2 linked regions of the Mus musculus genome follow. The protein of the gene in region 1 interacts with the protein of each later gene in a pairwise test. Links are inferred from orthologs where the notes say so. Each region holds a gene or a part of one and is shown in the gene's direction. Other genes may lie near its edges. The genes, in order: Gm9736 and Dkk1.

The links.
Region 2: the proteins of Gm9736 (region 1) and Dkk1 interact in a two-hybrid assay, tested with the Homo sapiens proteins (2 studies listed by BioGRID and IntAct). The two-hybrid records come from large-scale screens. The link is inferred for Mus musculus from reciprocal best matches to the Homo sapiens genes KRTAP10-1 and DKK1.

The regions. Positions count from the first base shown.
Region 1 is NC_000076.6:77,744,696-77,760,389, reverse strand, and holds Gm9736 (uncharacterized protein LOC77763), read left to right. Parts: upstream 1-8,966; 5' UTR 8,967-9,035; coding exon 9,036-9,869; 3' UTR 9,870-10,019; downstream 10,020-15,694. Other genes in the region: Gm3233 (predicted protein 3233), read left to right, coding at 708-1,400. UniProt on the Homo sapiens protein: In the hair cortex, hair keratin intermediate filaments are embedded in an interfilamentous matrix, consisting of hair keratin-associated proteins (KRTAP), which are essential for the formation of a rigid and resistant hair shaft through their extensive disulfide bond cross-linking with abundant cysteine residues of hair keratins.
Region 2 is NC_000085.6:30,547,390-30,564,057, reverse strand, and holds the start of Dkk1 (dickkopf-related protein 1 precursor), read left to right. Parts: upstream 1-14,561; 5' UTR 14,562-14,678; coding exon 14,679-14,924; intron 14,925-15,111; coding exon 15,112-15,280; intron 15,281-16,345; coding exon 16,346-16,495; intron 16,496-16,619; coding exon 16,620-16,668. UniProt on the Homo sapiens protein: Antagonizes canonical Wnt signaling by inhibiting LRP5/6 interaction with Wnt and by forming a ternary complex with the transmembrane protein KREMEN that promotes internalization of LRP5/6.

The DNA.
Region 1 (15,694 bases):
CCTGGATGCTGAAGACATTGGTCACACGTGAACTTGTGTGGAGAAGTCAATGGGACAGAGGTTGTATGAGAAACTGCAGCATGTATATGAGGCAGAAAGCCCACACTGTGTGGCACAGAAGCCCTATTCAGTGCAGAAACTGCTGATCTCTGCTCCCTTGTTACTGTGAAGGCACCTCTGTCTATTGCTGTCTGGGGCACCACTGAACCAAGGCTTCTGACAGTACCAAGGATACTGGAGAGCAGGAGCTATGAGTGGGATGCTCTTGCCACAGAGCTGGTTCCGGATGCAGGACAGATAAGCCTGTGATGGGGCCATCATCTCTCTCCTAGCCTCAGGCAGGCTTGACCACCCCTTGAAGGATGACAGGGCTGGAGGACACAATAGTCTAAGCACTCAGCATCATCACCAGTTACCCTGGCAGGCACCACAAGGCAGGGGGCACAGGGTCAGCCCAGGAAGTCTGTGCTTTCCCTCCAGATGTGTTTATTGCTGGAGCAACCAGTCCAACAGGAGTTAATGACTGAGCCCTGCAGAGCATCCTCCAGACTGAATAACAAGGAAATGAAAGTGTACAGAGTCTTCTGAGGCAAAACATGCCTGAAGGATAAAAGCCCAGAGCCCAGAGCACCTCAAACACACACACTCACTCAACACTCACACAGTCACTCAACACACAACACTCCCAACTCCCTGCCATTCCTGCCATGGCCGCCTCCACCATGTCTGTCTGCTCTGATGCTCTCACCAACTCCTCCTGGCAGGTGGATGACTGCCCAGAGAGCTGCTGTGAGCCCTGCTGCTGTACCCCCAGCTGCTGCCAGACCAGCTGCTGCCAGCCAAGCTGCTGCCAGACCAGCTGCTGTGCCCCAGGCCCCTGCCTGACCCTTGTCTGCACCCCAGTGAGCTGTGTGTCCAGCCCCTGCTGCCAATCTTCCTGCTGCACACCCTCATGCTGCCAGCAGTCTAGCTGCCAGCCAGCTTGCTGCACCTGCTCCCCCTGCCAGCCATCCTGCTGTGTGACCCTTTGCTGCAAGCCTGTCTGCTGCACACCCATCTGCTCTGGACCATGCTGCCAGCAGTCTAGCTGCCAGTCCTCATGCTGTCAATCCCCCTGCTGTGTGCCTCTCTGCTGCAAGCCTGTGTGCTGCACACCCATCTGCTCTGGCTCCTCCTCCTGCTGCCAGCCCTCCTGCTGTGCTCCTGTGTGCTGCAAGCCCTGCTCCAGCCTGTCCCTGCTGTGTCGCCCAGTGTGCAGACCTGCCTGCTGTGTGCCCACCTCCTCCTGCTGTGCCTCCTCCTGCCAGCCCAGCTGCTGCCGCCCAACCTCCAGTGTGTCCCTGCTGTGCCGCCCTGCCTGCTGCAGACAGGCCTGCTGTGGACAGAAGTCCAGCTGCTGAGGGCCAGGACCCACGAAGGCAGCAGGGCACAGAACCACACCTCCATCAGCCTGTGGTTGCTACTGATGGAGGGACAGCTCAGAAGAAAGATGTATACAGTCTTAGGGAATCCTGACCATAACTAGACCCCTTAGAAGGCTCAGCAGGTTCCTCCTCCACCAGGTCCCAGGAGAGCTGGCTTCCTCTTCCCTTCCCTCCCTGACTGGATGACCCTGCATCTGTGGTCAGCTGTACCACTCTAGACCAATGCACATTAATAAAACTTCTCATCGATTCAGTCTCCGTAGTTTCTGTCATTCTCTTCCACCAGCTGTGTATCTTCAGTTGTGAGGCTTGGATTTGTTACACAGACCCACTTCTTCTGTCCCCCTGTTCCATGCTCTGATACTGGGATCCGGGTTCTATCTCCTCTGGGTCTGGGCCAGTGCTTTCCTGTCTTGGGGCTCACGGAGTGACTCTGATAAATCCTCGGAAAGGATTTCATTGTGAGGAAGAGGCATACCTTGGAGAAGAGGAGAGGGTTTGTCTTTGTCCTGAGACTCTGGGAAAAACTCAGTGTCGAGGCTTTACAGGAATTCCAGGACTGAGGGCAGGTGCTGTGCAGATCCTACCACCTCATCTAGGTGCTGACCCAGTCCTGGTCACCAACAAGGTCAGAGTAGAGCCTTGAGATTCCTTGACCACGCCCACAGGCTGACCACAGTCCACTGTAAGGTGCACAGACTAAGGACATTCTAGCAACTGCAGGCAGCTCACCTGAAGGGAAATCGCCTGCTCCAGCCATAGCCCACAGCTCAGGGTCACAGCATCCCATTTCTAGAGAGCACAAGGTCCCTTCTCAGGTGACAACCTCCCAGCAGTGGTAAAGAATAATGACAGCTTTCACATCTACCAGTCCTGTCGGACAGGTCTTTTAAAAGATCACCATGAGACAATAATAAAGAGTGAAGATTGGAAAAGGTAGGGGAGACCTTTGGGACACTGTCAATCATTGGTGTCAGCACCACTGGCACCCTTTAGGGAGAAGAGAAAAAAGGTAAGAGCATAGAAAATCTATACATTGATATTCTAGAAAATTCCCTAGGACAGACAGGGCTACCCAGGGAAGGGTCCAAGGTCTAAAGAACCTTAACTGGACACAACAAAGCCCTCACCACCGCACATCGTCTACAAAGGGGAGAAGCATCAAGTAGCACTTGATAGCAATCAATCAGCCCAGATCAACTGCAGACCCCTGAGCAGAGCTCTGCAGCCCAGTGCGTGGGGAACGGTGTACTGAAGTCCTAGAAAAAATAACTGCCAGACAAGATTACTAAGCCCAGCAAGGCTTCAGAATCCAAGAAGAAACAAAGAACTTCTTCAATAAACAAAAATGAATTCATGGCCATGATTCCAGTATTACAAGAAGGGATGAAGAGGGTCTTATTATGCAGAAATGTCAGAAAGTCTAATACCATTGGGATTTCCATATGAAAGTGTCAGAATACTAGAATATTATAGAGAAATAGAAATGAATCAAATATGTAAGGGTTTGTATATGCTTGGCCCAAGGAGTGGCACTATTAGTAGTTGTGGCTTTGTTGGAATAGGTGTAGCCTTGTTGGAATGGGCATGGCTTTGTTGGAGTGGCAGTGGCCTTGTTGAAGTTGGTGTGTACTGTGGGTGTGGGCTTTAAGACCCTCATGCTAGCTGCCTGCAAGCGAGTCTTCCACTAGCAACTTTCAAATGAAGATGTAGAACTCTCAGCACCTCCTGTACCATGCCTGCCTGCATGCTACCATGCTCCTACCTTGATGATGATGATGGACTGAACCTCTGAACCTGTAAGCCAGCCCCAATCAAATGTTATCCTGTATAAGACTTGCCTTGGTCATGGTGTCTGTTCACAGCAGTAAAACCTTAACTAAGACAGCCACTGATCCTATAAATACCACCTACAAAAGCCCCGGGAAAGAACAAAAGCAGCAATGAGTGAAGTTCTTATCAGGAATACCCACATCAGGAGATAGAAAGATAACACCGAAATCAAACCACCTAAGCTCTCACTTTAGCTATGCTCCCCAAGGCCTCACAAACTCAAGAATGAACCACATCCCAAACCAGAAGAAGCAAGGACTACAAATCAGGGCATAAAGAAGTCAAGACAGAGTCTGCTGCACAAGGCAAAGAGCATATGAGACCAGACACACTGAATGGCAAGCCCTGTCTACAATGGCAAACAAGGGAGAATAGGGGAGGGGAGGGGACATGACTTAAAAGGAACTAAATATAGAAAGTTACTGGTGTAGGGGACACAGATGTTTTTGTGTTCATAGTCATGCTCTCAGGGAACCTGGAACTGCATGCACTTATGGTTGTTCCTTCAAGGGGAAGAATGCAAAAACCCTTCTCCATCCAGGAGGCTGGAGCAGGTGTGTGCTTTGTGACCAGTGACTTTTGTGCCATCAGTGTGGCCAGAGATTTTTGGGCACCAGACCCTTCCTCTAAACTTATGTTTCTTAATCAATTTATAGAGCCTATTATCTTTATGGAACATATCCCATGGACTTTACAAAGGGTTTTGATGTAGTCTGATCTGCATTTTGTTTACTTTGTTCCTCCAAGGGACTTGGGTATGATTTCCTGGGAACAATGGATTAAGTTAATCATCACAAGAATTGTTTGCAATGATGGTGCTGAGTCTAAATAGGCCTAAAAGAAACAGCTTGGGGTCAGACTGACAAAGTTTGAACCAACACCAGCTACTGAGTCCTGTTTTACCCAAATGCCTTCTTGTTCTCTCGTGTCTTGTCACTCTGTTGACCCCAATGTTCTCAGAGACTCTAGCAAACTGTCAGGTTCAATCACAGAGCTGAGCAGGCTAAAGAAAAGCTTAGAATCTGGAAAGACAGGCAAGCTGAAATATTCCAGTTTGGAAAGCAGGACCCAGAATGAAGGCAGTGAGGTCCGCCCAGCCTTGCTGGCCTGCAGAATACACGGGACATAGCAAACAACCCTGGCTTAATAGGACACACAGCAGGAGAGAGTGACAAAGGATTGGAATATATATGAAGAAAACTTAAAGCAATTGAGAGCAAGATTGGGGTAGCCCAGGCTGAAGGGGGGGCAAGTTAGCATCAGATAGGGACAGGGATTTGTTGTTGTTGTTGCTTGTTTTGAGTGTCTTCTTGTTTGTTTCCTTTTACCTTTTTAATGTATTCTTTTTTTGAGATTTATTTATTTATTTATTTTACATGGGTGCTCAATCTGCATGTACACCTGCATGCCAGAAGAAGGCATCTGGTTCCATTGTAGACAGTTGTAAGGCGTTATGTGGTTCTTGGAAATTGAACTCAGGACTTTGGAAGAGCAGTCAGTGCCCTTAACTGTTGAACCATCTCTCCAGACCTGTTTTTACCTACTTTAATGTATTCTCTTTTCAGGTTCATTCATTTATTTTACATGAGTGCTCTATCTGCATATACACCTGCATGTCAGAAGAGAGCATCAGATCCCATTACAGATGGTTGCAAGTCCCCATGTGGTTGCTGGAAATTGACCTCAGGACCTCTGAAAAAGCAGCCAGTGCTCTTAACTGCAGAGCCCTCTATCCAGTCCCTTGTTTTGTTTCTAACATGGTGAACGGACTATGTAGCTGGGTGGTCATGAGAGGTCACAGTGTTCTGCAGTTCCATCAAAATGTGCCCTTTACAGATGAGATAGTAAAGCTCCAGTGTACACCATTCCAACAAAAAATAGTTGGTTTATTTCCAGAAATAATTGAAAACATTCCCCCAAAAGGACAGGGCTCCTAGAGCTTCATGTCCAAGAAGCACAATGAACTCCAGGGAGAGGAAACACAAAGATCACCCAGAAGACACACTCTGATGCAGTTACAGTGACTACAAGACAACAGTGCCAGTTAGAAACTCATTTCTCACCTGAATCCAAGGCTAGACAGCAATGGCTTGGCATACTTAAAAAATAGGGAGGAGACAGTCCACTCAGAAGTGGACAGCAAACTGTCCTTTGAACACAATGGGGAGGTGTCCACGATAACTGTTACCTACAGTCCCAAACTACTTAGATCACTGAAGCAGGAGAATTGCAAGTTCAAAGCCAACCTAGTAAAGTCCTGGTCTGAAAATAAGAGAAAATATATAAAAGCACTAAGTCCCTATAACTACTCCAACATGAAATGCTTTGGGGCATGTGCAGGAGGCTAGGCTTAATCACACAAAAGAAAAAGAAAAAAAAAAAGATCGAGAAAGTAAGGTATTTCTGCATAGTTAAGAGAGTTTATGGCTCCCAGAAGTGCTCTGCAATAGTTGATTTTTTTTATTCATAGCAGAAAGGACTTGGAATAGCATTTGAAGCCACAGGAAGACATGAGATTTGTCTACAGCTGGTTTCCAGGCTGCCTGGAGTCTGCCCTTGACACCTGAGTTCCCTCGTCTGTCCCTAAATATGGAGGTATGGTACTTGGTTCAGTGTGCTCTTCTATCTACCCCATCTTGCTCATGTAAACACACATCAGGACCCTGTTTTCCCCTGTGATTTTAGTTATTTACGGCTCCTTTTCCTTTCCTTGGGTTAAACATCAGCAAGTGTGGCCTTTTGTGGCCCCTGTCCCAATGGCTGCTTTTCCCTGACCTCCATGTCTGGCTCTAATTTGTATTTCCTGTGTACTGCTGTCTCTGGATTGTTTGTGCTTCCTGCTCCTGGTTCCTTGAGGTATGAGTTTAGATGGCTGGTCTGGGCGCTTCCTTCAAGGCTATGAGTTTCCCTCGTGTGCTGTTTATTCCCAGCATGGGTTTGTTGTGTTTTCATTTTCAACCGCCTCTTGTATCATCCAGCCTCTGCCCCTGACTCCCTGGCTATCTAAGTGTGTCTTCTATTTCTACAGATTGGTGTGAACTCTCTGGTTCTCCTTCCCTTTCCGTTTCTATTTCTTTCTGTCTTGAGGTTATACCTCATATGACCTCAACAGTTTCAAATTCATTGAGATTTCTTTGGCCTAAGCTGTTAGCTGGTCTGCAGGGTAGGGAAAGCTGATGCTGTTTCGCTTGATTTGTATGGCTGTGCACGGTATTCTCTGAGCCCTCGTTTTCCTTCTATCCCTCCTCTTCCTCCTCCTCCTCCTCCTCCTCTTCTTCCTTTTCCTCTTCCTTCTCCTCCTCTTCCTTTTCCTCCTCTTTCTCCTCCTCCTACTCTTCCTCCTCTTCTCTCTCCTTTTTCAAAAGATTTCTTAATTAATTTATTTATTTGCTTATTTATTTTATGTATATGAGTACACTGTTGCTGTACTCAGAAACACCAGAAGAGGGCATCAGATTCCATTACAAATGGTTTGAGCCACCATGTGATTGCTGGGAATTTAAATCAGGATGCCTGGAAGCATAGTCAGTGCTCTTAACCTCTGAGCCATCACTGCAGGCCTTCTATTTCTTCTTCTTCTTTTTTTTTTTTTTTTTTTTTTTTTTTTTTTGTATTGCACTACCAATGGCTTTCTGACATGGCCAGCTCTCCTCAGGGTACCAGAGCTGTTGGGTTCTTCACAGTTCAGCTTCATATGGATTGGGGTCGATGGAATGACAACCCAAACAACAGCAAACATCTAGAAAAGAATTATGAGCTCTCCTACTACCATTTCCCATCCATAAAACACAATCAGGACGAGCCCAGCAGCATAGGAAAGGATTGCACTGCACAGACAGGGAGGAGAGGAATGCAAAGCTGACTCAGTGGCTTTGTAGACCTGGGTGGTATACTTCAGAGGCCTGAGGAAACTCACATCCATCTCAATCATGGATAAAAAGATGCCCAGAAAGTTCTGACACCCTTTCCTAATAGAGACACTCAACAAAACCAACAGAATATCCTCAGTGGGAAACAAGACACCCATGAAGGCTACCCATAACCCTTTCTAAGGAGGCTACCCATAACCCTTTCTAAGGAGAGGTACAAGGTGAGGCTGTCCACGTCCACTCAACAATGTACTGGAGGTTAGAGCCAAAGCCATTAGGCAATGAGGAATATGATTACCAGCAGTAAAGTCCTTGGGGTCAAAACCATGGTGCTGCTGTTGCTTCTGCAGCAATGGTGGGTGTGTACATCAGTGGACTAAGCCCAATCACCTGATTTCTAACAACAGCACCAGGACATGCGGTGACCGAAGGACGGTCTCTCCCACAAATGTTGCTAGGACAGTCACATGCTGAACATAAGGCTATATGCTAATGCCATATCAAAAATAATTAACTCAAGATGAATCAGAAAACCACATGCAGGAGCTAAAGCTACAAAATCATAGAAAAAGGCATAAAAGCCAATCTCCTGACCAAAGACTCAACTGTGGTATCTCAGGCAAGTCACAAAAACACAAGGTACACAAGAGAAGAAAAAAATTTTTTAAAGATTTATTAATTATTGTACTTAGGTACACTGTAGCTGACCTCAGATACACCAGAAGAGGGCATCATTTCTCACCACGGATGGCTGTGAGCCACCATGTGGCCACTGGGAATCAAATTCGGGGCCTTCAGAAGAGCAGTCAGTGTTCCCACCAGCTGTGCCATCTCACCAGCCCAAGAAATTAAACCACCAAGATTAAGAAAGCACAGGGCAGCAGAGGACTTTGTTAGAGAAGTCAGTGATGATCCTCAGAACACTCACGGTCCAGGGAACCTGCTGCCCAGAACCATCAAAACTCCATGAAAGGAGAGACAACTCCATCTAAGACAAAGGACTGTCCAAACTAATTTATTTAAGAAAACAGAGCAATCCTAAGACTGGACATAGGGGAACAGGGGCCACTCCTTAAAAACAAATATACATACACATACATCACACACACATACATACACATACACATATAAACATATACTTACACATACAGAGGTCCAGAGGGGTCTTGAGCTGTGGGTATCACAACGCTATAGCACACCTCTGGGCCCAGATGTTGTAGACACTGGTCACACATGAACTTGTGTGGAGAAGTCAATGGGACAGAGGTTGTATGAGAAACTGCAGCATGTATATGAGGCAGAAAGCCCACACTGTGTGGCACAGAAGCCCTACTCAGTGCAGCAATTGCTGATCTCTGCTCACTTGTTTCTGTGAAAGTACCTCTGTCTACTGTGTCTGGGGCACCACTGAACCAAGGCTTCTGACAATATCAGGGATACCTGAGAGCAGAAGCTATAAGTGGGATGCTCTTGCAACAGAGCTGGTTCCTGATGCAGGACAGATAAGCCTGTGATGGGGCCATCACCTGTCTCCTAGCCTCAGGCAGGCTGGACCACCCCTTGAATGATGACAGGACTGGAGGATACAATAGTTAAACGCTCAGCATCATCACCAGGTACCCTGGCAGGCACCACAAGGCAGGGGGCACAGGGTCAGCCCAGGAAGTCTGTGCTTTCCCTCCAGATGTGTTTATTGCTGGAGCAACCAGTCCAACAGGAGTTAATGACTGAGCCCTGCAGAGCATCCTCCAGACTGAATAACAAGGAAATGAAAGTGTACAGAGTCTCCTGAGGCAAAACATGCCTGAAGGATAAAAGCACAGAGCCCAGAGCACCTCACACACACACACTCACTCAACACTCACACAGTCACTCAACACACACACACCCTCCTCCAGCCAACCCTGCCATGGCCACCTCCACCATGTCTGTCTGCTCTGACGCTTGCACCAACTCCTCCTGGCAGGTGGATGACTGCCCAGAGAGCTGCTGTGAGCCCTGCTGCTGTGCCCCCAGCTGCTGCCAGTCTAGCTGCTGCCAGCCCAGCTGCTGTGTCCCCAGCTGCTGTGCCCCAGCCCCCTGCCTGACCCTTGTCTGCACCCCAGTGAGCTGTGTGTCCAGCCCCTGCTGCCAATTTTCCTGCTGCACACCGTCATGCTGCCAGCAGTCTAGCTGCCAGCCAGCTTGCTGTACCTGCTCCCCTTGCCAACAGCCCTGCTGTGTGACCCTTTGCTGCAAACCTGTCTGCTGTGTGCCAGTCTGCTGTGGCGCTTCCTCCTCATGCTGCCAGCAGTCTAGCTGTGAGTCCTCTTGCTGCACCTCTTCTCCCTGCCAGCAGCCCTGCTGTGAACCTATCTGTTGTGAGCCTTTGTGTTGTGAACCTGTCTGTTGTACACCCATCTGCCCTGGACCATGCTGCCAGCAGTCTAGCTGCCAGTCCTCATGCTGTCAATCCCCCTGCTGTGTGCCTGTCTGCTGCAAGCCTGTTTGCTGCACACCCATCTGCTCTGGCTCCTCCTCCTGCTGCCAGCCCTCCTGCTGTGCTCCAGTCTGCTGCAAGCCCTGCTCCAGTGTGTCCCTGCTGTGCCGCCCAGTGTGCAGACCTGCCTGCTGTGTGCCCACCTCCTCCTGCTGTGCCTCCTCCTGCCAACCCAGCTGCTGCTGTCCAACCTCCAGTGTGTCCCTGCTGTGCCGCCCTGCCTGCTCCAGACAGGCCTGCTGTGGACAGAAGTCCAGCTGCTGATCCCAAGTCCTCCTCTGGGGTATTATCCAATGCAGGCTGCTCTCCCCCTCACCCTGCTCCTGCTAGCTCTAGCCATTCCCACCCTCTAGCCTTGACCACAGAAGACTAGCCATGGCTACCCAGCCGGTGGTTGGCCTCTGAGCCCTTCTCTGAGGCTGCCTGAATGGAGTTCCACTGACTTCTTAGGCCTCAAGTCCTAAGATTATTCCCAACTCCAGCAGCCCTAGTCTTATGGGGGCCTTATCTGACCTGCTACTATGCATATTCTCATAACCCTGCCTTTAGGAGCTGGAGAGATGGCTCAGGGGTAAAGAGCACATACACTCGCATAGGACCTGAGTTCTGTTCCCAGTGCACAGAGGGTGTCTGCTGTGAATTGTAATTCCTTTCCTAAGGACTTTGCTGCCCCCTGACAACACCTGAACTCATTTTGCACATGCATGTACAAATACATGTGTGCATGAGCTTACACACACCACACACACACACACACACACACACACACACACACACACACTCTTAAAATTAAAGAAAAATAAATCTTTAAACCTGCCTCTGTCTCCTAATGACCTGTGTCTTATGTGTGGGTGTGTATTTGTGTGTGTGAAGGGGTGGGTGGGCATGGTGGGTCCATATCTCATGCATCAAATGAAACCTAGCTCAAGGGTACAGCTGGCACTTCTCGGAGCAGCTACTTAGTATCTGAGTTTAGGACTGTGGGGGAATGACAATGCTCATTCTGTCTCCATCTTTCATGGAAGTTCTACCCTTCCCAGTGTCCACATCTCAACCAGGGCTCCAGTTCCAGCTCCAGCTATAAGGCTCAAAAGCCCCAAGAATGCCAACCTTGTACAGTCTTTTGGACGCCTCTTGCCAATGCAATCCTCCTAGATTCCAGCACCCTTCCTGCAGCCCTGGTGCCCAGGAGCCTTTCCAAGGAGCTGCTCTACACACTTCCTCCTCATGCTGCCAGCAGTCTAGCTGTGAGTCCTCTTGCTGCACCTCTTCTCCACTGCCAGCAGCAGTGGAACTGGTATCCTGTCTTGGTGACTGGCATTCCAGATCCAACATCCCACCCAGCCGGAGCACAGGGACCACTTGAGTAAATGCTGGGTGGAATGGGGTGGTTAATAATGTCAACTTGACCGGATCTGTTATCACCATGGAAACAAATTGTCAACATATGTGGTTTCTTCTCCTCAGGCCAGAAGTCTCGCTGCTGACTCAAGTCCTCATCTGGGGAACTATTCCCCACAGGCGCTTCTCCACTGCTCTAGTTATTCCCAACCCTTTGCCCTTGACCACAGAGGACTAGCTGCAGGCCTCCTTAAGGTCATATATTTGAAGGCGTGGTCTCTAGACGGTGGGACTGTTTTGGGAAGGATTAGGAGGCGTGGCCATGTTGGAGGAGGTGTGTCACTGGGGGTGGGCTTAGAGGTTTCAAAAGTCCAAGTCAGGCCCAATCTTGCTCTTTCTGTATGGATTGAGATGCGAGCTCTCAGCTGCTGTTCCTGCGCCATGCCTGTGTACCTGTTTCTGGGCTTCCTGCCATGACAGCCATGGACTCACCCTCTGAAGCTATACGGAAGCGCTTAATAAAATGTGTTCTTCTATACGTTGCCTTGGTCATGTGTCTCTTCACAGCAGAGAACGGTGACCAAGTCAGCATGTCTGGGGGAGAGTTTCCAGATCAGATTAACTGAGATGGGAATGCCCACCCTAAATGGGTGGCACCATTCTATGCACTGGGGGCCAGGATTGGATAAAAAGAAGAAGAAAACAAGCTGAATATGGGCATTCCCTGCCTCCCTCCCCCCTTCTTGACCAGTGGTGTTGCCTGTGCCCTAGACTACCTTCCTGCCCTTGGGGGTTGGAAGTGATGTGGAACAGAGTCAACAACCCATCTCCTGCACGGGGACCTAATTGAGGACTGTCTGAGAGACCAAGGATTGCCGGTACAGACAATGTCAGCCAATCAGAAACTGCTGTTTAGAAGAGATGCCTTCTTGGGACCAATGAGGGTGTGGGTAGAGGGTATTAAAGGAGTTTGCAGCCGTGCTCAGGTGAGCCTGCTGCAGCATTTCTTACCTGCTCCCAGAGCCTGTGTCATGGACTCTGTACTACCTCACCTCCAACCTCCAAGAGCAGGTAAAGTCAGGCAGGAAATAGTTCAGGGCACAGGGAACACAGTCGCCTCGTTCTCCTGACAATGCGCTGTCCCCACTGTGATGGACTGTGTCCCTGGCAACCGTGAGTCAGAATGAACCTTTTCTTCTATTAAGTTGCTTCCCGTCAGGCATTTTGTTACAGCAGCAACAAGAGTGACTGACACATGAGGTAACACCAGCTGTGCCAGCAGTCCCAGGTGCCCCACACAGTGCTTCCTGTGCTCAGGGGTCACCTCCCTTCCCCCACTCAGAAAACTACCCAAGATAACCACTGAGACATCCCAGCACCAGAGAGCAAATGACACAGCCTTGTCCACTTTCTTGGGAACAAATCTATGTGCCCATAGATAAGAGGTCCCAAAGGGCCATGATGATGGTCACATGATACTGCTGTGGTTGTTGAATGGCCAACAGGTAAGGCCCAACCTGACTGGAGGTCACACCCAACATATGTCTGCCCTTCTCACATCTGCACGTTGATGCCCAAAACACAGGACCTCACCTGCTTAGTGACCAGTATGCCAGAGGGATGCCCTCCAGTACCCGGAGAGTGTGTCCCCTGTCTCCTATGAGCCTCTTTCCTGGTGGGGCCACATTGGAAGACCGTTTCCAAAACTTTAAATCACAAGGTGACCAAAGAACTCTGTCAGGCCAGCCTCAGGTTTCATCCTGGGAGAAATGAGAACATCCATCGATATAGAGCAGTCCCCACTCAGGTTCACACTGCTAACAGATATAGGAAATTACTCAAATGTCCACAGCAGAAGGGTGGATAGATGTGTGTGGGCTGTCCACACAGGGAACATTGAACAGCTGTAGAGGAGGCAGCCAGGTGGAAGCATCGTGCTTGATGAGATGGCATGAGGTCATGTGTGGAAAACACAGCACAAGACTTCTGGGAATGGACAGCAGGGATACAGGCCAGTCAGACTGCTCAATGAATGCTGAGACAAATATCAGCATAGAGAGCTAAGGATGATATGTAGAATCAGGGGTTGAGGGTAAGTCCTCTGACTCGTGGTTCCAAAGTGTCCAGCTTTTACCCTGTTCGTTCTGAGCCTGTGATAAGATAGAAAGCCACAGAACCTGAGCATGGAGCCAAGGTGGCTCCTTTCATGGCAGACAGGAAGCAGAAAGGAGGAAGGGCAGGATGAACCTCAAAAGGCCCGCCCCCAGTGGCCTACTTCCTCCAGTAAGGCCGGAGGCCTAATGTTTCATCCACCTTCCCAAATAGTACCACCAACTGGAGAACAGGCATTCAACACATAACCTTCTGGGGACATTCTGTGCCTAAACCATGTGTCTTTTTTTTTTTTTTTTTTTTTTTTTTTTTTTAGTTTTTCGAGACAGGGTTTCTCTGTATAGCCTGTATAGCCCTGGCTGTCCTGGAACTCACTTTATAGACCAGGCTGGCCTCGAACTCAGAGATCCACCTGCCTCTGCCTCCCGAGTGCTGGGATTAAAGGCGTGCGCCACCACGCCCGTAAACCATGTGTCTTAGTGAGGGTTTTACTGCAGTGAACAGACACCATGACCAAGGCAACTCTCATAAAGGACAACATTTAATTGGGGCTGACTTACAGGTTCAGTCCATTATCATCATGGTGGGAGCATGGCAGCATCCAAGCAGGCATGGTATTAGAGTCTTCTCTTGTTCTGAAGGCAGTTAGAAGAAATGACTCTTATGTGGCTAGGAGGAGGGTCTCAAAAGCCCACTCTCACAGTGACATACTTCCTCTAACAAGGCCACACCCGCTTCAACAAGGTCACACCTCCTAATAGTGCCACTCCCTGGGCCAAGTATATTCAAAATCAATACACCATGACTGTGGGTGTCTGAGGTAGGGCAGGGGAGGACAGAAGGACCACTCAAGGGCAAGGAGCCTGGAATGAGCTACGGCACACACTGATGACAGCCAAATGTTCTGATACCCTTGGTCATACTCTTTAAGTGCTGGCACCATGGCACACCAAGCATTTCTCAAGAAAACTACCTAGTAGGAGCTTCAGGCCATCACTGGGCCCCTGTGACTAACAGTCCCATCCCTTTACCTTACACAGGATACTGTCTGAGAACATGGAACTCATGGCCATATACCCTTAATTCTGAAGGTGAACTTTGAAGTTGAACCAAATGGAGACAGGATGCAAGTCCCAGGTCAGGGCTCAGAGGATGGCTGTGGGTACCAGAGATCTTCAGATGACGGTGCTAATCCCAAAGAAGAACCACTGACCTGCCACAGGTGCCCAGGATGGATGTCACCTCTAACCCAGCAAGAGACAGACAAGCAACCTCCCACAGAGTCTCCTGTGCTGGGGTCACTTCAGCAATGTGACCAAGTGACTGGGACCCTTGCCACAAATCTGGAAGTCAGCGAAGGACTTGGACAGAATCAGAGCAGGAAGATGCACAAGTGGGCAGATGACAACCCCCCCCCCCAGGGAGCTGGAACAGCACCTCAATACACCCATGAGTGCCTGAAACACTGGGCATGGCTGAGCACCAGCCTGAGGGTTCCTCCAGCCCCAAGATACCTCCAAGGACGCTAGCCTCAGAAGATGAACCATGTGCCAACAAGAACACTTACAATAGTGTGCCATAATAAAAATAATTTTTAAAGTCCGCTGCTGTAGTAAATATTTAATTTCAAATTGGAGGTTTCTACACTGCATTAGATCATTCCGTTCTCAGACAAAAGACATAAAATTTTTATATTCATAATAAGACCTTAAGCTTTTAAAGCACTAGAGCTGAGAAGATATCTACCCTCTAAGCTATTTTTGCCTACTTTCCTGTCAATAACCCTGAGATATAATTTATCATGTTCTGTCTGGGCTGCTCTTACTCCAATTGGCCAGCCCTCATGGCCATGTTTTCATGACTCATCTACCCCACGGCATCTTCTTCAATCTCCATCTTCTCTCTCCCTTCCCATGGTCCTGCCTCAGACCCCAAACCTGGGAACCGAAACCTCACCTACCTCTCCTCTACCCAGCTATAGACTATCAGCATTTTTTGTGTCCTCTCCCCAGCCTTGAGTGGGCTGAATCAGACCTTGTTTTGTCTTCTGACCTAGGTAAAGTCTATTGTCCTGCCATATCTGCAGCTTTCTGCAAGAAGCCACTACCTGAGCAGCTGAGCTTGTCTTCCCAAGGAGAGTCTGACAAGGTGGGGGATGGGTTTCCCCCTTTTAGAAATTCAGACTCAAGAATTAAAGTTGAGCCTTGATCTGAGAACCTTGACTTGGCTCCATTATTTCTCTTGCTGTTCCTCCCATCCATCCCCAGCTTTCCTTTCAGGAGCCCAGTGACCCGTGGCCTCTCGTGACCGCTTGTGGCTACATCTTTTTATAGTTTTAAATTACAGAGCAAGGTCACATAGCATCACTTGGTGTACGTGAGGATCTTCTCATCTCCGAGGCAACCAGATCTTGGGGGCTGGTATTATTATTATGGTACATAGCAACAGACCAAACCTCAACAGCCGGCCTCATTTATTTCTGCAATTTTTCATTTTGCAGTTTTCCAGCTCTGGAAAGTGAGATCAATAGATGAGGGAGGTTGTGAACTAAGAGCGGGATGCTCTCCTAGAGAATGAGGACAGGGAGGGAGAAAGGGAGAGGGAAGGTAGGGGAGAGGGAGGACACCCAGAGTTCT
Region 2 (16,668 bases), on another chromosome or scaffold:
ATCCCACTGACATGCTTGGATGACTAGTGACAGTTCATGAAAACTAGATATCCTTTATGAAAACCAGATACCCAGTCCAGTAACTTTCTCAGACAGTCAAAACCTGGAAGGAAATATCTACCCGTTTTTTTCTACCATAGTTCTAAGAATGATTTTATTCATTTCTTATTTTTTTAAAATTATCCACCGTGTTAAGCCCAGTGTGTTGTGACACTGATGCTTACAAATGACATAATAAAAGGCTAGAGTTGGCCACTCCCCCACTATCACATCAGTAGAGTCAAGTCATTATACAGTTATTCATGGGAGTCAGCGTCAGTAAGTCAGTGTCTTAGAGAAGAATCTCCTACTAGTTACAGATCTCTACTCAGCTTTTCAGCCTTAAATGTGTCCTATCCTGATTAGTCACTCTTCTTATTACTGTGACCAGCACCTGAGAGAGAGAACTTAAAGGAAATCTTCAAACCTTGATGTCTCCAAGAGATCAGGCCATTAAAGCAGGAAGGCATGATGGAGCAGAATGGTGCCCAGCAGGACAAGCAGAAAGCAGCAACCACACGGTGGCTCACAACCACCCATAATGAGATCTGAAACTCTCTTCCAGTGTGTCTGAAGACAGCAACAGTGTACTTATCTATAATAATAAATAAATCTTTGGGCTGGAGCAAGGAGGGACTGAGTGAATGGGGAATCAAGCCAGGCCAACCGGAGCGAGCAGAGGTCCGAAATAAAATTCCCAACAATCACATGAAGGCTCACAACCAACTGTACAGCTATAGTGTACTCATATACATAAAATAAATAAATAAAATCTTGACAAGGGAGCTAAAACCATCCAGTGGAAGAAAGACAGCATTTTCAACAATTGGTGCTGGCACAACTGGTTGTTATCGTGTAGAAGAATGCGAATCGATCCATACTTATCTCCTTTTACTAAGGTCAAATCTAAGTGGATCAAGGAACTTCACATAAAACCAGAGACACTGAAACTTATAGAGGAGAAAGTGGGGAAAAGCCTTGAAGATATGGGCACAGGAGAAAAATTCCTGAACAGAACAGCAATGGCTTGTGCTGTAAGATCGAGAATTGACAAATGGGACCTAATGAAACTCCAAAGTTTCTGCAAGGCAAAAGACACCGTCAATAAGTCAAAAAGACCACCAACAGATTGGGAAAGGATCTTTACCTATCCTAAATCAGATAGGGGACTAATATCCAACATATATTAAGAACTCAAGAAGGTGGACTTCAGAAAATCAAATAACCCCATTAAAAAATGGGGCTCAGAACTGAACAAAGAATTCTCACCTGAGGAATACCAAATGGCAGAGAAGCACCTGAAAAAATGTTCAACATCCTTAATCATCAGGGAAATGCAAATCAAAACAACCCTGATATTCTACCTCACACCAGTCAGAATGGCTAAGATCAAAAATTCAGGTGACAGCAGATGCTGGCGTGGATGTGGAGAAAGAGGAACACTCCTCCATTGTTGGTGGGAGTGCAGGCTTGTACAACCACTCTGGAAATCAGTCTGGTGGTTCCTCAGAAAATTGGACATAGTACTACCGGAGGATCCAGCAATACCTCTCCTGGGCATATATCCAGAAGATGCCCCAACTGGTAAGAAGGACACATGCTCCACTATGTTCATAGCAGCCTTATTTATAATAGCCAGAAGCTGGAAAGAACCTAGATGCCCCTCAACAGAGGAATGGATACAGAAAATGTGGTACATCTACACAATGGAGTACTACTCAGCTATTAAAAAGAATGAATTTATGAAATTCCTAGCCAAATGGATGGACCTGGAGGGCATCATCCTGAGTGAGGTAACACATTCACAAAGGAACTCACACAATATGTACTCACTGATAAGTGGATATTAGCCCCAAACCTAGGATACCCAAGATATAAGATACAATTTGCTAAACACATGAAACTCAAGAAGAATGAAGACTGAAGTGTGGACACTATGCCCCTCCTTAGAATTGGGAACAAAACACCCATAGAAGGAGTTACAGAGACAAAGTTTGGAGCTGAGATGAAAGGATGGACCATGTAGAGACTGCCATATCCAGGGATCCACCCCATAATCAGCATCCAAACGCTGACACCATTGCATACACTAGCAAGATTTTATTGAAAGGACCCAGATGTAGCTGTCTCTTGTGAGACTATGCCGGGGCCTAGCAAACACAGAAGTGGATGCTCACAGTCAGCTAATGGATGGATCACAGGGCTCCCAATGGAGGAGCTAGAGAAAGTAGCCAAGGAGCTAAAGGGATCTGCAACCCTATAGGTGGAACAGCAGTATGAACTAAGCAGTACCCCGGAGCTCTTGACTCTAGCTGCATATGTATCAAAAGATGGCCTAGTCGGCCATCACTGGAAAGAGAGGCCCATTGGACTTGCAAACTTTATATGCCCCAGTACAGGGGAACGCCAGGGCCAAAAAGGGAGAGTGGGTGGGTAAGGGAGTGGGGGTGGGTGGGTATGGGGGACTTTTGGTATAGCATTGGAAATGTAAATGAGCTAAATACCTAATAAAAAATGGAAAAATAAATAAATAAAATCTTGAGATCACAATAAATTACATCACTTATGGCCTATTTTTGCATTAATTGTTGTTACACACACACACAGAGACATGCTCAGTCTTTATAGTGTAACTTGTGTGTATGTATTCAGGCCTGAACATTTGCCATTAGATTACTAATTAATGGTTCTCTTCAGAGAAAGTATCTTTAATTAGAAAAAGGAGGGAACCCATACAGAAGGAGAGGAATAGACATAGTATAATCTTCACAAGGTATGATTTGTACACACAGAGAGAGGGGGGAGACAGTACCAGGCATGCAAAACCTCCATTCCAGTTGATCAGTGGAGTTCAAGAGATTTCTAAAACAGCATAAGCTACCACTGTTGCCCTTGGTTGCCTCCCAGAACTTGAAGGTGAGGCCCTATAAATGAAAACATCACACACTTCAGACACAGGACTTGGAGGAGTTGGGTTAAAATGGACCTGGAGGCCTCCTCCCTGGGGACTAGCTCTCATAGTAGCTGAAGGTGCTTTGCATGCTGCCAAGGAAGAAAAGTAGTTGGCAGTCTTCTCGCCCAGTGTGAGCCTACAAGCCATGAGAATGACCAGCATTGCAAGATACACTCAAGGATGCAATATCTACCTTGTGAGCAACCAACAGTCATCTAATAGGACTTAAGCCCCACTCAAAAGGAGGGTATTCGTGCCTGTTACTTTATACCCAGCCAACTACCTGTGGCTGCCGATGTCATGCACTCTAGAGGAGAGTCTACTACTGCTACTTTCCTAAAACAGCATCATTTCTGTGTTCGAAACCAAAAGATAAATGTATCTCTCTGCCCTCGTCAAAGAAGTTTCTGGAACCCCCTGGAATTTGAATTACAGATGGCTGTGAGATGAAATGTGTGTGCTTGGAATCAAAATCTGGTCTTCTGGAAGAGCAACAAGTGCTGTTAACTATGAAGCCATCTCTGTAGTTTTATATAATAGTGTGTGTGTGTGTGTGTGTGTGTGTATTATGGATATAATTTTTGAAAATCTTCCAAAAGTCCCCAAAAGTTGACAACATACCACAGGTTAATGAGCTGACATTCTAAGAATGAGGAGAAAGAGTGGCTGGTTAAAACTCTTTTGTATGAGAACATTTTCTAGCCTAGAATTGGGCTTTGGGTCCATAGCTACCTATGACCATGAAGCAACACTGTTCACTGGATTGTTTTCTTATCCAACCAAAGCCCACCTTCTTGGGTATGGAACCACCCAGAGTGGGCTGGACCCTTCCACATCAATTGTTAACCAAGAAAACAACCCCACAGTGCCACAGACCAGGCCCAGTCGCCCCCCCCTCAATCTGTGGGGATCAGGGTCTCAGACAGATGGGCATAGAGTCGGTGAGAATGGGGTAACAAACAGACAGGACACAAGGGACTGTGCTGAATCTGAATGTAATGTCAAATTGAGCATCAGACTTTTTATACAGAAGAAAATAGGGAAGGTAGGTGACACATTGGCAAGATACAATGAGGTTACTGGATGCTTAATGACTCATACACAAAACAGGAATGCAAACACAAAGGCTGGCAGGAACTGGGCAATAAAACAACTGAGACAAAGTCAGCTCTATCTAAGGTCAGCAATAGTCTTAGAAGCCAGGTGTGAGGTCTTTACACTCCAGGGCAAGGGCTCTCTTGCCCAAGTCATGGTTCTAATTAGGGAGTTCCACTCTAGCTAACCTTCTCATGAATAATGCAATACTCTAAAACCACAGCCCGATCTACTTCCTAAACCATTGTAAATTCCTGTATATGGGAGTGACTTGGCTTTTATTCTAAGTGATGGTGTGGGGGACTTTCTACTAATAAGTAATGTAGTCTGCCACACATAACTATAAGAAGAATTCTAAACTTACTTTGCTAAGCTTGCCCTGAGATTTCTAACTCTATGTAGTAGATAGTAATGCCTGATTTCTTTCACTATCTCTCTTACAATACTAGAGGCAATTCTGAATGTCACTGAATAGTTAACATTCTTACTGAATTCAAAGCCCAGGGTCAGCTCAAGGACTACCTACGGCATTGGTGAAGGCCAGGAAGCAAAGTTCAATTTTGCTTAGGTATTTGGCAAGTCATTGCTTGGAGGCACCTATAATAAAACAATACTGAAAGAAAGCACACAGATCCATTTGCAAGGACAAAATTGGAGCATACATGCTATGGGATGCCACAGTTCCAGGAGACTCTTCGCCTCAGGACTGCTTCCAGGTTTCTAAACCTGTCAAGCAAGTCACTACTGGAGTGGATGTAGCACCACAGACATGCCCACAGGCCAACCCGAGGGAGGCACTTCTCGGTGGAAGTTCTCTCTTCCCAGGTGACTAGTTTGTGTCAACTTGACAAAGACTAACCAGCACAAGTTCTCTTTCCCTAGAGAATTCTGACAATTGCTCTTGGGCTTCCAAATAAGCTGAAGCCCAGTAATACTACCATAATCTGAAAATAATATAAATCCAAACTGCACCTAATACACAGTAAAATCTGAAAATTACTTTAAACCCAAAATGCACCTAACATAATGTAAACGACTACCTAACGTGATGGCTCAGCAGTCCATGTAACTGTGGAGTGCTGGTCGGTTGCCTGGTGGCCCCATGACTGACTGGGAGTTATAGCTTCCTGTACACTGCACATCTTACCAATGGTCCTGATAGCCCAGGCAAGATCTAGAGCCAAACATTAAGCTTTTCAGTGAATGGTATTTCTTTCATGGCATAAACTGAAAAATTCTAATCCAAACTACTATTACATTTGAGATCATCTCTTTGGCTCATGATGGGAGTGTTCAGAAAAATCCACAGTAAATAAAATCAGGGCTGGGTTCAAAGTTGAAGGGAAAGCTGCTTTTAGTTTAGTGGATATTTAAGAACCGTGGCTGTACCTGGGTGTGGTGACACAGGCCTTTTATCCCACCATTTTGGAAGTGGAGGTATAGGACTAGAAATGCAAGACCAGCCTAGGCTGCTACATCTCTCACTCTCAAAACAACAAACAAAAGAGTCATACACCCAAAGGGCTTCTGAAAAACAGTTGTAGAGAAAAAGAAAGTTTTAATTGACAACCTCTTTCACTATCTTGTGGAGGGCTTTGGGGGCCACTTCTAGAAACTCAGCAGGAATTTGACATTGGACCAGGACAAGGAGGTAAGCTCAGGCAGGAATCTGACTTTGGACTAGAACAAAGATGTTAAACTCAGGCAGGAATTTGACTTTGGGCTAGGACTCAGGAAATAGTCTCATATTGAGAATATTTACATTTGGGTTAAGGCAAAGCTCAGAGTGGGCCCAGCCACCCAGGAATGTGTGGCACTCCTTTTGTCTTGGTCATCATAAGCCCCTCAACTATTTGAGTTTATTGCCTTGTCTGTTCCTTGACCTAGAACTGACCTTGTTATTTGCATGTACTTAAAATGCTATAAAAGCAGACTGGGAAAAAATTTACTTCAGCCTCTGCACTGGCTGGAGTCATGTTATAATGTTGTCTAATTGTCTTTTTCTTTTCAATTCTCCCTCCCTCCCTCCCTCCCTTGAGACCTGGTTGACTGACTGAGCTGGCCTGGTCATCATCTTCAAAATAAAAAAAAATATATTTTACTCATTCACCTATTTATTTAATGTTGGTGTGTGTGTGCGCACATACATTTGGAGGCCAGAGAATGATTTTTAGTGTCTTCCTCAGTCTCTCTTCAACTATATTTTGAGATAAGGTCTCTCATTACTACTGAATCTCAATGATTCAGCTAAACTGGCTGCCCATCCATCCACCTTCAGGATCCTCCAGCCTCTGCCTGCCTGGTTCTCAGACTACCATTTCTAGCTCCCTACTCCAGCACCTGCATTTTAGGTTAGCTCTGGAGAGTCGCACTTAGATTCTCATGTTTTCATGTCAAGCACCTTACTTAACCACTGAGCCATTTTCCTATCCCTAGTATTGTCGGGAGCTGCTTGCCCTCTTCTCTAAAGCAGAAAGAGACAGAGACAGACAGACAGACAGACAGACAGACAGAGAACCTCCGGGCAGAGTCAAGGCAGGTCATGGTCTGTTGGCAGATTTCCAGGCCTGCTAAGGCACACAGACCGAGAAAAGGATGTGTGCACCTGAGGCTCAGGGCGAGGGGCTAAGATTCTATTGACCTCGGTGGAAGGAATTGGGGGTTGGTTGAGAACAAATGCCTTGTGTATAGTTTAGCAACTTGTTTCTGTTAGCTTGTGGCTTTCCTTCCCAGGGTACCATAATATATGAAGGCTAAGAGAAATACACTCACTTCTAGTGTGGTATTGACCTGCAGCCCTCCCATATCTGTCTCTTGCATCGCTTTTCTATCTTTCCTATAGTCACCCTCACTTCCTCCTCAGAGGTCTGTTCAACTTTGTACCAGCCAGATCAGTACAAAATATTCAATTTTTTCCCTCGTTTTTCCCATACATGAAAGTGAAAATTTCTCTTATTTATGTTTCTCTTTTTTATTTGGATTTATTATATTATTCTACGTGCACAACCATTGAGCCAGTTCTCTACCCACGTCCCACCTTTCCATTTTTCTAATCTCAAACATCATAAAGCAAGAGCATGATAAGTTTTCAAATAAACTGACTTTGCCTATCAATCATGACCTTTACAATAATGGAGAAAGAAAAATTTGGTGTGTATGTGTGTAAAATAGAATACTACTTAGTGCTAAAGGAAAAAAAAATGAAACCACAAAATTTGTAAAAAAAAAAAAAAAAAAAAATGTATGTACTCAGAGTCTAGAGTAATATGAAGCCAAACAATCTCAGGAAGAAAAAAAGCCACATCCTCCCTCATATGCAGAATCTAATGACAGTGCGTGTGTGTGTGTGTGTGTGTGTGTGTGTGTGTGTGTGTGTGTGTGTGTATGTGTGTGTATGTAAACAAGTTTGCATGTAGATGCCATCTAGCATACAACAAGAGAGTCAAAAATGCTGAATGTGAGGGGTGAAGAAGGACAGAATGAGTTATGAATGCTGATGCACAGCTGATGGTTTCCTTGTTCCAATTCTATTGTAGATTTTTTTTATGGCAACAATAAAAAATATATCCATAGTGGAAGCGTAAGACGTGAAGCTCTTGAGTTCTGTTTCCAATGGCTACTCTATGTTCGCTGCACTGTGCGGTCTTTGGGGTGGGAATTAATATGTTGCGTGGGTTTCTGGTTCTTGTTTTTGTCTTTTACTGCTGTTAAGATAACAATGTTTAAAGTTTTTTTTTTTTTAAATCTATAACAACACCAACAACAAAAAGCACAGAAAAAGGCAAACCTTAGGACTTAGGGCTTACATATCTAGCCTCAGTCTTCCTCTCACATCGTTAGGAGGAAAGAAAGGAAGCCAGTTCTCACAGAAGGCTAGTCAGCTTTCCTTACCGCTCCTGTACCTTCTAAGGACATCTGCAGCTAAGCTGAACCCACCAAGCTCCTGAACCTTGCAAACTGCTTTTCACTCTTTTCTCCGGCTTGCAGCTTACGTGAAAGTGGCTTTTCTTATAACTAGAGCCATTTGATACAGCAGTCTGTGGAGGTACTGATGGAACACAGAGTTCAAGCCAAAAAGGTGGGCAGGGATTAATGAAATTATCAGTGAGAAGCCAGCTCAGGTGGCACGGGCTTGTCACCCCAGCATTTAGACCCTGAGGTAGGACGATTGCCATGTCAAGACAAGCCTGGGTTACATGGCAAAACCTTGTCCCAAGCAACAACAGGAAGAAAAAACAAAAACAAAAACAAAACCTCTCGAGTTCTTTTGTTGAAGGTCAATTTACTTCTTTAAAACCATTCTTAGAAAACATAATCTAAAGCCCAATATGAAAACAATGCTGTGTGATTTCTATAGTTGGCACTTGTTATATCTAAAATTTAGTAGATTATAAATATTGAGTTGCATGCTTAAAAGATTTATCACACAAGTTCCAACAGCTTTTATTTTTTTAAAAAAGGAAAACATGAGTGGGCACAAAATTATTACCTGCTTGTATTTTTCATAAGCTTCCTAGATAATATTCTTTTTTTAAAAAAAGTGGAAAATTTGAAATTAACATTTTCTCATTGAAACAAATGACATATTTTCATTTTCTAAAAAGTTTTATAAAAAATGGTTATAGATGAATGAACTTTCCTGAAATACATGCAGCATAGGATTCTCCTTAAGTGTGGTACTTATCATCTGAAGAGCCTAAGTTTTCATCCAGGAATGAGGAATGCTGGTGTGCAAATTAAACCTAACTGAATAAACATTTCACTGAGAGCCTCTGTGCCAGACCCCAACTCCTTAGTCTTTAGACAGCGGTTAGACGCTATCCTATCTTATTCTATTATGCGAAGATTTACTATATATTATATGGAATATTAAAAGTTGGAGACTATTTAGCTTTGAAACGTTTTCAGTGTGAGAGCTGGAGAAGTTATCCCGGGTGTGGTGGCATACCCTCTTAATCCCATCACTCTGGAGGCAGAAGCTGGTGGACCTCTGTGAGTTCGAGGCCAGCCTGGTCTAAACAGTGAGTTCCAGGAAAGCCAGGGCTGCTACACAGAGAAACCCTGTCTCTAAAAACAAAATGAAACAAATCTTCCAAAGAATTATTTTTTTAATTCACTTTAGGTCCAGATCACTTCCGATAGGATCCACCAGGGGGAAGCAGAGGAACGGGATTGCTCCTTCCCGAACTAGCAGTGGTGAGGACTTACCGTCTCTCAGAGCAGAAATCTTCCTGTGCCTCTCCTTTCCCCCTCTACCCTCCCCACTTCTAATTAACCCTGATTTATTTGCCCCGAGAACTGACACCGTGGACCCACAGCAGCAGTGTAGTGCGAAGAGATTTGCGCCCAGGCCAGGGCTTCAACGGGATTACGCTGATGAATTTGCTAAACACAAAGTCCACAGAAGCCCCAAATCCAGCTCTCTGCGAGGCCACCTGGCTCACGGTTGATTAAGACAGGGACCCTGAGCTGTTTGATCTTCTCTCATCAAAGAGTCTTTAAGCAAGTTTCATTTTACACTACTGTAAGGTGGCGATGGCTTGTGACTGCAGTGAGCCGCCTGAGCCAGCGCTCAGGCAATGGAGGTTCGCGGCTCACCCTGGCAGGAAGAGAGTGCAACAGCAGCTTGGAGCTCCAAGATCCTCTCAAGGGGGAAGAATCCTTGCTCCAACCCCTTAGCAGAAGTTAGTACTGTTTCTAGCCTACATCTTGTTTCCACCAAGGTTCTAATACAATGTTCTAGCTGGAAATTTGGGGATGAAGAAACAAAATCATTCATTCATCCATTCTCATTCATATTAATTTGTTCATTCGTTCTCTCACTCCCTTCTGCTCGGGCATCTTTTAGAAAATCAAGAGTCACGTAATTCACCATATTTCCAGAAACTTAGTTTACATTCTCCAAAATCAGCAAGTTCCCAGGGTCCACAATAGTGAGTATTGCTTAATAACGCTGTCTGAAAGACATTTAACCTGAAGACAAAAGGCCTTGCCCAGGACGGCTTAAAGACTACTTTTGTATCCAGAAGGGGGCTCCCTTGACTTCCCAGCATGACATTTACAAATGAAAAGAAAGCTAGTTCCACAATCACAAAGGGACAGTTGTCACCTTGCAGTCCATTGCTGAGCTCCAGCCCTTAGCTTCCAGGGCAGTGGCAAGGGGCCCTTTTGGTCACAGCCCTTGGAGAATGCCAGTATGATACAGGGAGTATGACAAGAACCCAGTGGCACAGAAGAAAATTCCATCTCCTATATATCTGCTGTCCGGGCCCCGCCTTATGCTGGCACCGCCCTATCTTTAGGATTGGAAATATTAAGTCCTACAGGGGATATTATGAGGCAGCTGGACTCCTAGACCCTACCTATCACAGGCCTTTCTGGGAGTCAGGACCTCCTGAAAGATGCTGCTGTCATCATTCTCACCAGACCTCCTTCACTTCTGAGCTCCAGGCTGTTTATGCTTCAAGGGCTCCAGGATCGTTTTCTGAGCTGAGTTAGATAGTCTTGTGACTGTGGCGCTGGGTTTATCTAGGCTAGCCATCTCCAGGGACAGAGCGAAGATAAGCATCCCAAACTCACTTGCTCCTCTTTGTAGGACAGAAAAGCCTACCCACTTCAAGGGACTCCAAACATGAGTCACGTCTGAAAGCTTGTCTATCACGATGAGCATAGAAACTAAAAATCTTTTAAAAGTCGAGGAGAAAGTCATATGCTTTTTATTAAACGTCAGGAACGGGAAATCTTTGCTATTAATTCAAGGCTGGCACCAAGGAAGATGCTGGCAACACCCACCACCTACTTCGAGTTTTCTTATTGAAAGCTCAATAAGAGTTTTAGGGAGGGTGGGGGTGGCACATGCCTTTAATTCCAGCCCTCTGGAGGCAGAGGCAGTCAGATCTCTATTCCAGACAAGCCTGATCTACAGAGCAAGTTCCAAGACAGTCAGAGCTACACAGAGAAACCCTGTCTCAAACAAACAAACAAGAAGAGAAGAGAAGAGAAGAGAAGACAAGACAAGACAAGACAAGACAAGACAAGACAAGACTACAAAAACTAAATGTGAACAGATCGACTACCTTCAGTTTGATAAGGAGAGGGAAGGAATGAAGAGGAGGAGGGGAAAGGAGACAAGGGGGGAGGAGAAGTACCCCCAAATAACGGAGGTGGGAGAGTAGTGTGCAAATATCCCAGGGTTCTGTGTCTTTAAATATTATTTGTCATTTGTCTCATGAATCAGAAGGACCGGTATCCTAGGCTGCTGCCCAACATTTAAAACAGAAGGAAGTCATGTCTCACGCTATCCTCGAGTTACACACACAGTTTAATTCTACTGTGCTAAACATCCCTCCTAGCTTTAAATCTAATACGAAACATTAACTGTATTGCCATAACTATGGTCATAGTGAGAGCATATCCAACAAGATACAAAGTTCCCTCCTGAAGAAATTAAACTAAGTTTGATCGATACAGCAAGGCACTCCATTGCCTGGCTGCATGAGACTCCAAGTCACGTGACCTCTGACTGCCTGAGGCTGGGGTGTGGCTCCAGTTCCTGGACCTCTCTTCTTTTCTCTCCCGACCAATACGCACCAAGTAAAATCTACTTTAAAAAAAAAAACAAAAAACTGTGTGATATACGCCCCTGACCCTAGCAATGGAGGAAACTGTGGTAGAAAATCTAACGTGCAGGCTACATAGTCGGACTCCAGTGGTCTTAAAGTGCTAAGACCCCCCAAAGCAACAACAAAAACCAAGCCAAACAACAGCAAAACTCCCTCTGTGACCTGATACCATGCTTCCTAGGCTGCATGCTTCCTAGACTGGAAGGAGCCTGCCTTCAGCATATGAGAGAACCACTCTTAAGGGGCTCTTCTGGGTGTTCTCCGGCACTGCAGGAGCAGTGCACCTATCTCTTTTGATCTTCACCTCCTGATTATGACACCCCGGAAGTAAGCTCAATCAAAACAAGGGTTCACAAATGGAGAATAGGCTGCACAGGAAATGGCAACTGTCTCCCCCTGTATCATCTGTGAGCTTGCTTCATCTTTTCCTAAATAACTTGAAGATGACTGTTCTTGTTCTTTTTATTATTATTATTATTATTATTATTATTATTATTATTATTATTTATTGAAGCAACAAGGACACTGCTTAGCCTCAGGTGTGGACCTATTCATACCTCCAGAAGGAACATAAAAAGTAGAAAGTGCCAAAACTTCCTCCACCCCCACCCACGCCCCCCACCCACCCCTGGTTTCAACTGTGGGCCTATGTTCTTGGTGAGCTGAGCTCTGCTCATTTAGAGTAGGTGTATTAATCAAGAATCATCATTACATCAGAATATGGGGAGAGAAGTGGCACATATGTGTATTTCTAGGAAAAGATACTTAACACGTTGATCATTGACATTGCTAGTAGTATGCTGAATGTGATAATATGAGCTCACCACCACCACCACATTATTCCACCATCTCCCGGCATCTATGCAAGGTTCAGATCCACTGACTGGTAGGTCTGCGTGGAGCCAGGAAAATCTGATTTATTGTTAGTTATTTGTCCCCCTTTATTATTCCTAATATTCACTTTTAAACAAAATTTTAAAACCTGTTCATTGTTTTCAAATATTTTAAAGATCTGTGGGTAACTAGCCTTGCTACACAATTGCACATATTCCTAATAAAAGCCAGATAAGTACATAGGATTTAATCCATGTTAGACTTTCAACAAACCACAGGAAATTCTTCGGGATGAATGGAGTTTGGGGTAGAATTGAGGCAACATTAAAAGTTACTTGGAAGACACTTAAGTTCTGAAATCCACCAAACAGATATTTAAATATTGTTCATAATATCCCTCCTAGCTCAACTTCAGGGTTATATTTGTACAAGACTGTCATTGGCTATTGTGGGGGTGGGGGGCTTCCTAAGAATAACTATTATAGATAAAGCGGTGTCGTGAATAATTCTAGCAGATCCAGAAGCTAAGGGGCTACAAAGGACATCTCAGCTCACCCTCTCCAACAAGGATTTCAGATCATTTCTTCCTTTTCAGTCTCATACAACAGTTGCTTGTGGTCTCAGATTTATCGATCTGTTCTTAAACATTATCCATTCACATTTCTTATCTTTTGTTATTTCATGACAACTGTCTCTTTTAGCACTGTGATGGTTGGATAAAAGACTGACTTTAATAAAAGTCATTATTACATACATTACCGCTAATTTATAAGCACGGCATTCTTATGTCCATGTTGTTTCTTATTTTACACACTGGGCGAAACCCCTTCAAATTCATTCTCTGATTTAGGTTCAGCACTTCTTTTCCAGGAGGTCCTCTGTTATCTCCCTAGAGGGTTATTCCTCCTGTCCTGTCCTGTCCTGGACGAGGTTTGATTTGGGATCAAAAGCAAGCCCTCTCCTGCTCAGCGATATGAAACACTAATGAGAAAGCCGGGAGCTAAGCCTTCGGGTTTCTTATCTTCTTCTATTAACCCACCGCTGGGAACAGGGAACCAGGGAAAGAGGACTGACCAGGCTCAGGGACCCTGTCCGCTCTGGCTCAGAGCCACTTTGATCTCATGTGTCTGCTTAATCAAGTTCATCTACTGCTGGGATTGACCAGATTCAAAGAACCACATTAAATAGTTTGATTATCGGGTGCCTATTTCCCTCTCCCCTCCATCCCTGATTTAATTTCCAAACGGCAGTCTCTCGCCTCCACCCCCAACCCCCCCAAACTCACCATCAAAAGCGAATTAGTTCTTCCCTTGGCATCCTCATTTGATGTGCAAATTTTCTTGTCTTTGCACATTTTTTTTTCTCCTGGTGTGTGTAGGGTTGGGTGGGGGGAGGGAGGGAGTGGGAAGTGGGGAAGCAACTAGACAAACTTAAAAGACAAGAACCTCATTTGCAAATCGCAACGCTAAAGGGTTAATCAGCAACTATAGGAGCCACCTGGGCTTTTCACAAAACCTTTGATGAATGGCTGCTCGCATTGTATTTAATACTGAATATTATTTGCGTGCGCAGAAAGCGAGGGTACTCATATGGGGAAGAGAAGAAACGTGGTTTTGTATATTCTATCACTTTTAACTCTGACAAGGATTTCAGACAGAACTAACCCAGCCCCACAGCAGAACACTCAAGCTCACAGAGTGCACCCTCCCGCCATTTATTTATTTATTTATTTATTTATTTATAAGTTTGGGCTAGGCTCTAATGCTCTAGTGCTCTAGTGACCCACACTCTAAGGTGAGCTGGACAAGGGGACCACAGTGCAAGGGAGGGGCGAGGGGAGAGTGTCAAAGTCCTCCCTGCTTCCGACACACAAACACTCCCCCTCCCAGCTCCTCCCAAAGCTTTGAAATCCCATCCCGGCTTTGTTGTCTTCCCTGAGGAGCTGGGAGGGCTGGGAGCCTGAGTATAAAGGCAGCCAGAGGTGGCGGTGGCGGTGCAGAGCTGTGCGCCTGGCAGCCAGAGACTCCACCAGCGGAGGTCCCGAAGTTGAGGTTCCGCAGTCCAGACTCTGCAGCCAGCCGCCGTGCAAAGTGACCTCTCTTTTCCTGACCTTTGCCTGTTTGCGTCCTTCGGAGATGATGGTTGTGTGTGCAGCGGCAGCTGTCCGGTTCTTGGCCGTGTTTACAATGATGGCTCTCTGCAGCCTCCCTCTGCTAGGAGCCAGTGCCACCTTGAACTCAGTTCTCATCAATTCCAACGCGATCAAGAACCTGCCCCCACCGCTGGGTGGTGCTGGGGGGCAGCCGGGCTCTGCTGTCAGTGTGGCGCCGGGAGTTCTCTATGAGGGCGGGAACAAGTACCAGACTCTTGACAACTACCAGGTAAGAGGGGTGCTGTGATCCCGACGGGGGTCTCAGAAAGATCTAGGTGTGTGAGATTTGGGGTGTGTTTGGAATCACTGCATTAAGAGCAGCGCGCTTAAGGGGCTTTTGAAGAGGCAGATGGGGACCTTGAAGGTGTGGGTACCAGGATGCTTGAGTTGCTCACCAGTCCGCTCCCTTCCCACAGCCCTACCCTTGCGCTGAAGATGAGGAGTGCGGCTCTGACGAGTACTGCTCCAGCCCCAGCCGCGGGGCAGCCGGCGTCGGAGGTGTACAGATCTGTCTGGCTTGCCGAAAGCGCAGGAAGCGCTGCATGAGGCACGCTATGTGCTGCCCCGGGAACTACTGCAAAAATGGTGAGTCTTGGACTCCTTTTTAAATTAGAACCACCTTGCCTTTGAGGACCCAGGAATCAAATGAAATGCTCTGGTTCTGTCAAAGCTAAGGTGGCGCCACCTGCAAACGCGTGCTCATGCAAGGGTTCTCCTGACACATCGTCACTGGCTTGTGTTTGAGCACTTGAAAGTTTATCTTTCCTTGCCTCCCTCTGTGATCTAACAACAAGACCTGAAAGTGGACCCTTCCATCAAACAATTATCTTCAGGGAGCCTTGGGGCACTTGAGAAAGGGGGAGAGGTCGTTCTGAAAGGGGAGCCAGACGTTTTTTTCTTAAGGTGGACTCTGCGTGGCTTTGCCAGTCTCTCTTTCCTCTAAGGCTATTACAACTGTTGTCAACGGGGAGCTAGAATGATTAATCTCTGCTGGCCAGCTTTTAAAAGAGATCTCTGTACCGCTTACACCCCTAGCTCTCCATCCCTTCTCCCCTTTCCCTCCACCCTCAACTACCTTCAAAGAAGTACTGCCCCCACACACACACACACACAACCACAGATCCACAAAATGTTAATGTCTCAAAGAAGTCTCCAGAAATAAACTTGAGGGGTGGCTAACTTCCTAGGTTACAGCAGCATTCCAGAGTCAACTCACTAAAATCTCCGTAATATCAAAATTATACAGTAAAGTAACTAGCGGGTGAGATCGCAGTCTTCCAGGCAGCCGGAACTGCATTGCGCAGCTAGCACCCAGAGCAGAGAAGTTATTTTTTAAGATTAATTTCTTTTAAGTGACTGGATTTCTTTTTCCTAGCCCAAAGGGTAATATTAAAATAGACAGAAAAGTCTCTACTGCCTCCACTACAATTAGTAGGAAAGCATTTAAAATGGCTATACCTGAGGCGTTCCATACGATTCGACAGTACACTCATTGATACTGCTTTCTCTGGGGAGTTTTGGTAAATAGAAAGGCAGCAACAGCAGTGAGGTAACTCACAGTGGTGTCTGTATAACCCACTGCTCCTGTCTTGGCTATTAGCAGCAACAAACTACAGCCTGAGGATTAATCACTATTTCTGGTTTTCTTAGGAATATGCATGCCCTCTGACCACAGCCATTTTCCTCGAGGGGAAATTGAGGAAAGCATCATTGAAAACCTTGGTAATGACCACAACGCCGCCGCGGGGGATGGATATCCCAGAAGAACCACACTGACTTCAAAAATATATCACACCAAAGGTAGTAAAGGGGCTTTCAGGCTCAGCCTTTCCCATTTAATATATCAGAAGTGCATTTAGAATTGTCTCAGTGGGATGGTACAGGCCTCGCAGTAACTGTAATTTTCCTTCTGTCTCCTTCACAGGACAAGAAGGCTCCGTCTGCCTCCGATCATCAGACTGTGCCGCAGGGCT